Tribolium castaneum: one gene and its partner. The protein of the gene in region 1 binds, or shares a complex with, the protein of each later gene. Links are inferred from orthologs where the notes say so. Each region holds a gene or a part of one and is shown on either strand. Other genes may lie near its edges.

Region 1 (4,143 bases):
AAGTTTCGCATGCAGTCAATGGAAAAATAAAAATGCATGTTTTTATTTAAACAGAAACTGGCAATGTGAAATTTTGGTGCGAAAATTAGTGGTATCGCAATGCGTATAGCCACATTGTTTGTTTGTTTCGTTTTGTTGAAAATTCGGTAGGTTCCAAAAGTAGGGTTATGTTGTCACCCGAAAATGACAAAATTTACACTTTTATGAATTTTGTCTCCATCTCTGCCCTTTCAGAGCGTTATGATAGGATATTTAGGGTCGAAATCTCTACCTTTATTATGTGCTATTGCCAGATAAGGACAAAAGTTCAGAAAGTAGGGTTAGGGTGTATTATGCTCTCTTCTGAAGTGTTAAATTTTAACTTTAATGTTTTTTGTGTGCTTTCCTGCTCTTCTAGAGCGCTATTAATTATTATTGAACATGTTTAAGGACAGACAAATCTACCTTGAGTCAACGACATAAATTTCAGTGAGATTTATTGAAAAATGCACTTCTCGTGTCAACCTTTTCATGAAAAAGGGTGTTTAAACGTTTATAAAGGGTATGTTAACGTGTGTTGTTAACTTTACCACGTAATAAAACATAAAGTATAACTTGGTAATTTTTTACTTTAACTACTTCTGGATTTTCAAGCTGAAACTTACACCAAACGATTCCTCTGAGTGCCCTGATGACCGTACACTATGAATTTTCTTATGCAAATTGAAAATAACATTAGAAAAATAATTTTTATTTTCACTCACTTTTTACTTGAATCGCCATTTTTGTTGATTTTAATTTGAGTTTATTTTTTATAATATCACGTTAATTTTTATTATTATAGTGGATCAAAGTGTCGTCTTTAGGTTAGACTATTGCCTACTATCGGTTAGGAACAACATGATCTCCAAAAATATAACGTAGTAATGAGCTCCAGAAGGTTTACGTAGATAGGTGCGTTTATCCCAAAAGTGAGTTTTTTGAGATCGAACCGCAAGTGAGTCACACTGCGAGGAGACTCCCATAGACAGAAGTTGCAAACATAAGGTGCCAGACCTATGTCTTTATCATCGATTCGGTGACGACTATTAGTTTCGTAAACTTAATGGATTTAATAAATATCTTTAACATTAAATGTGATCGTGTCATGTTGGGTAAAATTCTTCCATCTGTGCTGTCTGTGCATCCACCTTTTCAAATACAATTAAGAAATTTTCATAATAATTGTATTTGATAAGGTATTGGCATCATTTTGACGTGAGCAAAAATTAAAAAAATATAAAGTAATCGGAATTATTTTAAATTCGCGCCATTTTTAGTACGTGATGATGCGGCTAGATGGCTTCAGCTAGGAATTCATTGCCAACCATTATGTTCCGCTTCTATAAAAGTGTTATTCTAGGGACATGTGGTAACTTAACCCAACTTTCTTAGCATGTGTGGCCGATAAACAAACGTAAAAATGGGCAAAAAAGAACAGTTTTTAAAACGAAAATTAGAAAAATCGGCCGAGGAAAGTGACGAGCCTGATTCTGGTGCAGAGTCTGTCGAGAATGAGGTTAGTTTAAGCGATTCCTAAATTCTCGGGGGCGCGTAAACTGTTTGAATTTAAACACGTTTTTTACTATTTTTGGCCCTAAATTTGAATGAATTGTATTAAATAATTTAAAGTTCATTGTTTTTGAGCGAAATTTCCAAAAAAAGCAAATACGGAATTTTCTAGGAGCTTTTGAATGTTGTAAATGGGGAAGACGCCGACAGCTCCGACTCCGATGGCGAAATTGAAGAAAGCGACGAAGATTTGAACGACTCCGATGATGAAATTGAAGAAAGCGATGAAGACGATTCAAACACCACCGATGAAGAAAGCGACGAAAACGAGCTGGAGAATGAAGAAAACGCCGCCGAAGACACCGCCAACCCAGCAAGAGACGAATACTCCTCGCACGACACCTCCGACGAGGAGGACATCCGCACCACCGTGGGCAACATCCCCATGAACTGGTACGACGACTTCAAACACCTGGGCTACGACTGGGACGGCAACCAGATCATCAAGCCCGAGTCGGGCGACCTCCTCGACACCTTCCTCAAGCGCATGGAAGACCCCGACTTCTGGCGCACCGTCAAAGACCCGCAAACCGGCCAAAACGTCGTCCTCTCCGACGCCGACATCGACCTCATCAAGCGCCTCAAAGCCAACCAAATCCCGGACGCCACCTTCGACGAATACGCCCCGTGGATCGAATGGTTCACGTCCGAGGTGATGAAAACACCGCTCCGGAAATTCCCCGAACACAAGCGCTCCTTCCTGCCGAGCAAAAGCGACGCCAAGAAAGTCTCCAAGCTGGTGCACGCCCTGAAGATGGGCTGGATCAAGACGCGGGCCGAGGCCGAAAAACTGCGCGCGAAGAAAGAGCCCGAGTTTTACATGTTGTGGGCCACCGATGACCAGGCCGAAGACATGAGGCGCATTCACAAACACATACCGGCACCGAAGCGCCTCCTGCCTGGCCATGCCGAGTCATATAACCCACCACCGGAGTATTTATTCGATGAAAAAGAACTCAAACAGTGGAATAAACATAAAAACGCCCCCTGGAAACGGAAATTACATTTCGTGCCACAAAAGTTCGAGTCACTGAGACACGTTCCAGCGTACCCTCGATACATAAAAGAGAGGTTTTTGCGCTGTTTGGACTTGTATTTGTGCCCCCGTGGGATTAAAATGAAACTGAACATCGAGCCTGAAGCTTTGGTGCCCAAACTCCCGAGTCCGAAAGACCTACAACCGTTCCCCACCACTCTCTCGATTGAATACAAGGGACATGGCGACATGGTCCGTACCATAAGTACCGATAAAATCGGCCAGTACCTAGTGAGCGGTTCCGATGATGGTACCATCAAATTATGGGAGGTTAATACCGGGCGTTGCCTCAAAACGATTGACACGGGGGGCGTGGTCCGTTCAGTCGAGTGGTGCCCTAACCCCGCCCTTTCCTTGATCCTTGTCGCCGCCTCCAACCGTGTCCTGCTAATCAACCCGCACCTTGGCGACACTTTGATCACTTCCAAGACGGATTCGGTCCTCGAAACCGCCCCCCAAAGCGACGCAATCGTGAGCGAACGAATCAAAACCACCGTCGAATGGTCGGAATCAATCGACCCGAAAGAGTACACTCAAGGCGTCCGAATCGCCCTCAAACACTTCAAGGAAGTGGCCCAGGTCACGTGGCACGGCAAGGGCGACTACTTCGCCACTGTGATGCCCGACGGCCTCAACCGCTCGGTTCTAATCAGTCAGATCAGCCGTCGCAGGTCGCAAATCCCCTTCACCAAGTCCAAAGGCCTAGTCCAGTGTGTTTTATTCCACCCGACCAAACCCTGCCTCTTTGTGGCCACGCAGCGACACGTCCGCATCTACGACCTGGTGAAGCAAACCTTGATGAAGAAGCTGCTGACGAACTCCAAGTGGATTTCCACCATGGCCATACACCCAGGCGGTGATAATCTTCTAGTGGGGACGTACGATCGCAAAATGTTGTGGTTTGACCTGGATTTGTCCACCAAGCCGTACCAGACCTTGAGGCTTCACGGGACGGCGGTCCGCGGGGTGGCCTTCCATAAGCGGTACCCGCTTTTCGCCTCCGGGTCCGATGATAAGAGCTTGATTGTGTGTCACGGGATGGTGTACAACGACTTGCTGAAAAATCCACTGATTGTGCCCCTGAAACGGCTGCAGGATCACGAAACGAACAACGATTTTGGCATCTTTGGGGTGCTTTTCCACCCGTTGCAACCGTGGGTGTTCTCCTCGGGGGCCGACGGGACCATCAAGTTGTATTCTAATTAATAAATTTTTACGGAAAATGTTGTGTTGTTTGGAAATGCGGGACAGGTTGAGGAGGAAGATTGCCAAGAAAATGTTCGGAAGTTGGAAGAAGACAGGTCGAGACAAGTCCCTTGTATATAATACTTGTATATTACGACAGAATACTGTATACAATGTCTAAGTCACAAGACATAAGCGTTCTATTTAACTAGAAAAATATATTATAGATGGCACTTGTACACATAATATACTTTACAGGAGGTCTTCTACGGAGAAGAATCGAAAACTGCGAAAAAATCACTATGAATCCCAAAAGAAATTTCGGAAAATCC
Region 2 (4,109 bases), on another chromosome or scaffold:
TCGCATGCAGTTAATGGAAAAATAAAAATGCATGTTTATATTTAAACAGAAACTGGCAATGTGAAATTTTAGTGCGAAAATTAGTGGTAGAGCTCGGAAACTCTGTAAACGACCACGATAGGCGGAGCCATGGCCTCCTAGATGTATTGAGACAACTTCGTTGTTCAGGCCTGGCGCATCGCTAAGTTCGGCTGATTCTCCACTGGCGCTGCATTTAGCGGACTGACGTTTATTTGACAAATACCAATTTTGAGGTTAAAGACTAATAAATTTGAAAGATGTAAATGTGCATTCGTGAAATACGTAGGAAATGTGAGGATAATTCTAAAGTTGTGCCCTGAACGAACGTTTGGATAGTGTAACTCTTGCAGGAAATCATTTTACGATCATTAGGATTTTTTATTTTCAGCTTCAGAAGATATACAAATTATTTTAGGGTGAATTGGTGGTTCGTCATCGTTTATAAATATTAAAGAAAACGATGTTTCAAAGTACCTTTCATTTATTAGGCATACTATATGGTTTTACCAATGGTTTAGGTAGAATGCGTTACAAATCTGTGATTTTTAAGACATGGCTTAAGTTTTCTGAAAGGTATTTGCAACCTTTTAATCAGCAGATATTTGCAATACATTGTTTAGGCAAATGAAACTATTTTGCACACACGTATTTTCAAAACCTGCTATTGTTAATTTAATTTTAGTAAAATGTACAAAGAATGTCGTTTTTTTCAAATGAAATGGTTTAAAAAAGCTCGATCCAGCGTTCCTCTGCTGCGTTACTCTCTGCTGGAGTATCTCTGGACCGTCCGTTCCAAAGTCCCTGCCATAGATTATAGTTAATTATAGTCCCTGTCTAGACCTCTGCTCACTCTCACGCACCGCTCGTGAATCACCAAACTCCCGAAAAAAATCTACTACTTTATTAATTTTTTTGAGTTTTTGTATTTATTGTTGTATTTGTTTACAATTACATTGTAAGCTCTTTTTCACCTTCTCTTCTGCTAATTGTACTTGTTAAATTCAATTTTTTTGTCGGATTTAACCTCACAAATGCTATTTGTCAGATAAACGTCAGTGCGCTAAATAGGGCGCCATCTACGGTCTCGAAAAAACCGCTGAAGCTTATCGATGCGCCAGGCCTGAACAACGAAGTTGTCTCCATACATCAAGGAGGCCATGAGTGAGGAGATTGAGCAGTGGCGTAGCAAAAAACTATTCTATGATCAAGAAGGGTTTGAGATTCATAATTTGTAGTAGTTAAAATTTCCTCTATTCAATAATTGCAAGATGAAATAGTAAAAATCATATCTAATGCTAATACACGTTGATTTCCTAAAAATACACAGCAGAGAGGTCGAATAAATAAAAATACACAATGAGTAAAGAGTAAAAACGCGTTTATTGCAAAAAATGTTTCTACTGGTATCTTTACTATAACTGGTAATATTGAAATGTTAAACTTTAAGACGAATTCCCTACAGATGTAAGTACACGCCACGCCACTGTTTTCTGCCAACACCCCTAATTTAAAGATTGGACTCGTCCGAGACGAGTTTTCGTCTCTGCGCACTCCTACCACCGTGGACGATCTGTCATTTCGCGGACTCTAACCTCAAAACAACACGTGTTGGCATTTCTCCAGTTGTTAACGTTTTAGTGTATTATTTTGTTAAAACATGGTTTCCAAACGCAAAAAGAAGGTAACACCACCCCTACCTTACCATTTCAAATGTTTCATTATCACTTTGTAGTACACAACCGGCGAGGGTGCCCAATTCATGACCCGCAAAGCGGCCCTCAAAAAGCTCCAATTATCCCTCAACGACTTCCGCCGCATCTGCATCCTTAAGGGCATCTACCCCCGTGAGCCCCGAAACCGCAAACGTGCCCAGAAGGGCCAGTCCGGTATCAAAACCCTCTACCACGTCAAAGACATCCAATTTCTGTTACACGAGCCCATGATTTGGCGCCTTCGCGACTACAAAATCTTCAACAAGAAAGTCGGGCGTGCCCGAGCTGTTAAAGACTTCGAATCGTTGAAGAAATACCTGAATAACCACCCAACTTTGAAACTCGACCACATTGTCAAAGAGCGATACCCCACGTTTTTGGACGCGTTGCGCGACCTGGACGACTGTCTCACTTTGTGTTTCTTGTTCAGTACGTTTCCGTCAATCCCTCACGTCCCCCGCGACCAGAGTGCGCTGTGTCAGAGGCTCACAATTGAGTTTTTACACGCGGTGATCGAGGCCAAGGCCCTAAGGAAAGTTTTTATTTCAATCAAGGGGTATTACTACCAAGCGGAAATCAAAGGTGAGACCATTACGTGGATTGTGCCCCACCATTTCGCGTTCGAGCCCCAGAGCAAGGCCGAAGTCGATTTTAAGTTAATGTCGACTTTTGTCGAGTTTTACACGATTATGTTGGGTTTTGTCAATTTCCGGCTCTACCACCAATTAAATCTTTACTATCCTCCCAAATTCACAAATTTGAGCCAAACAGACAGTGAGAAAGAAATCGTAGACGAGGGGATTTTTGTGTCAGAACGTGTGGCAGCCCTTAATTTCCCTCTATCCAAAAGTACGAATTCAGCAATTGAGGACGAAGTCGAAATTGATAATTTCAACACTGAGAACAGTCCGGAGAAAATCGAAGAGGCGCGAATTGAGGCTGAAAAAATAAAAAAATTGAAGACACTTTTCAAGGGACTGAAGTTCTTTTTGAATCGAGAAGTTCCAAGAGAACCTCTCGTGTTTATTATCCGTTGTTTCGGGGGCGAAGTCTCGTGGGATAAGTTACTTTTTGTGGGGGCCACGTTTGATGAAAATGACGAGTCGATTACGCACCAAATTGTTGATCGACCCTCAATGGAGAAGCAATACATTTCACGATATTACGTTCAGCCCCAGTGGATTTTTGATAGTGTTAATGCGAGGGAACTCCTCCCTGTTAATAAATACTTTATGGGGGAGATTCTCCCCCCGCATTTATCGCCGTTTACTAACGAAGGGCGGCATCAGGAGTATATGCCTCCGGAGGAAAAGGCTCTGTATGATCCTGAAGCTTTGGAGGAGTTGCATAAGAAGGGAGAAAGTGATGAGGATGCAGACGAAGAAGAAGAAGAAACTGAAAATGCAGACACAACGAACGAACAAGTTGAAGAAGAGGAAGAAGAAGACGAGGATGAAGAAGTTGAAGCGGAGGAAACGGCGCCTGTGAAAAAGAAATTAAAGGTAACTCCAGGTGAAATATACAAGGAAGTTCCTTGGGAGAAGAGTCGGCAAGAGAGGCAGGAATATAAACTTAGGGAAAAGTTGGTTAAAAACAAACACCGAAAACTGTACAAGAGCATGATGGCCGGCCGCAAAGAAAGGGCGAAAGAGATTTGGTTGTTGAGGAAGAAGCGACGATTACACGATGAGAAACAAAAAGAAGAAAAGAAAGCGAAAAAGAAACAACAAAAAAGCGCGTCAGTTTCATAATTATTTTATTTTTTATAAAGTACATAAAATATTTCAGTGGATTAAGTTATGCAATAAATAGTAATCTTCCTGTTACTTAATTGTACATCTTATAAATAAATAGAATTGAAGGAATTCACTAAAAATCTACAGCAATTATTCACATAACAATTAAAAATATACAACAAATTCCCTAATTTATTTAAAAATGATCAACAAAGAGTTAAAAACGCGAATACAACCAGTGTTTTTGACATGATTAGTCTTCGGTCTCGCTTTCATCGTCTTCGTCGAGTTCGGGCATTGGGAAGCGGAGAATTGCTGCAATGCCGGTCAATTGTTCTAGTTCTAGAAAGCAAAAATGATAGTCAGTTGCATAATTTTTTTCAGTGAGCAGTATAGCCCCATCTAAGTATTTTTGAGTTACATAACAATTTTTTCTACAACCTTGTCAATTTTTAGCACGTAAAATTATAACAAAACAAAAAAACGTAACACAAGAAACATAAATAAAAATAAAGGGATTTTTGATGCAATTTTCTCGTGAACGAAATTGTTATTGGAAACTCAGACTCCAAAAGTATATACTTTGAAATTTAACTCAAAAAGAGCATAAAATGTAAAACAGCATTTTTAAGACCTAATT

What was found. The genes of interacting proteins can lie anywhere in the genome.
Region 2: ribosome biogenesis protein BOP1 homolog (region 1) and pescadillo homolog share a complex: the UniProt entries of both Homo sapiens proteins name them as parts of the peBoW complex. The link is inferred for Tribolium castaneum from reciprocal best matches to the Homo sapiens genes BOP1 and PES1.

Annotation. Positions count from the first base shown.
Region 1 is NC_087401.1:14,822,193-14,826,335, forward strand, and holds ribosome biogenesis protein BOP1 homolog, read left to right. Parts: upstream 1-1,343; 5' UTR 1,344-1,441; coding exon 1,442-1,537; intron 1,538-1,702; coding exon 1,703-3,832; 3' UTR 3,833-3,849; downstream 3,850-4,143. UniProt on the Homo sapiens protein: Component of the PeBoW complex, which is required for maturation of 28S and 5.8S ribosomal RNAs and formation of the 60S ribosome.
Region 2 is NC_087395.1:18,780,140-18,784,248, reverse strand, and holds pescadillo homolog, read left to right. Parts: upstream 1-1,375; 5' UTR 1,376-1,678; coding exon 1,679-1,702; intron 1,703-1,753; coding exon 1,754-3,484; 3' UTR 3,485-3,609; downstream 3,610-4,109. Other genes in the region: pelo (protein pelota), read right to left, coding at 3,723-3,811. UniProt on the Homo sapiens protein: Component of the PeBoW complex, which is required for maturation of 28S and 5.8S ribosomal RNAs and formation of the 60S ribosome.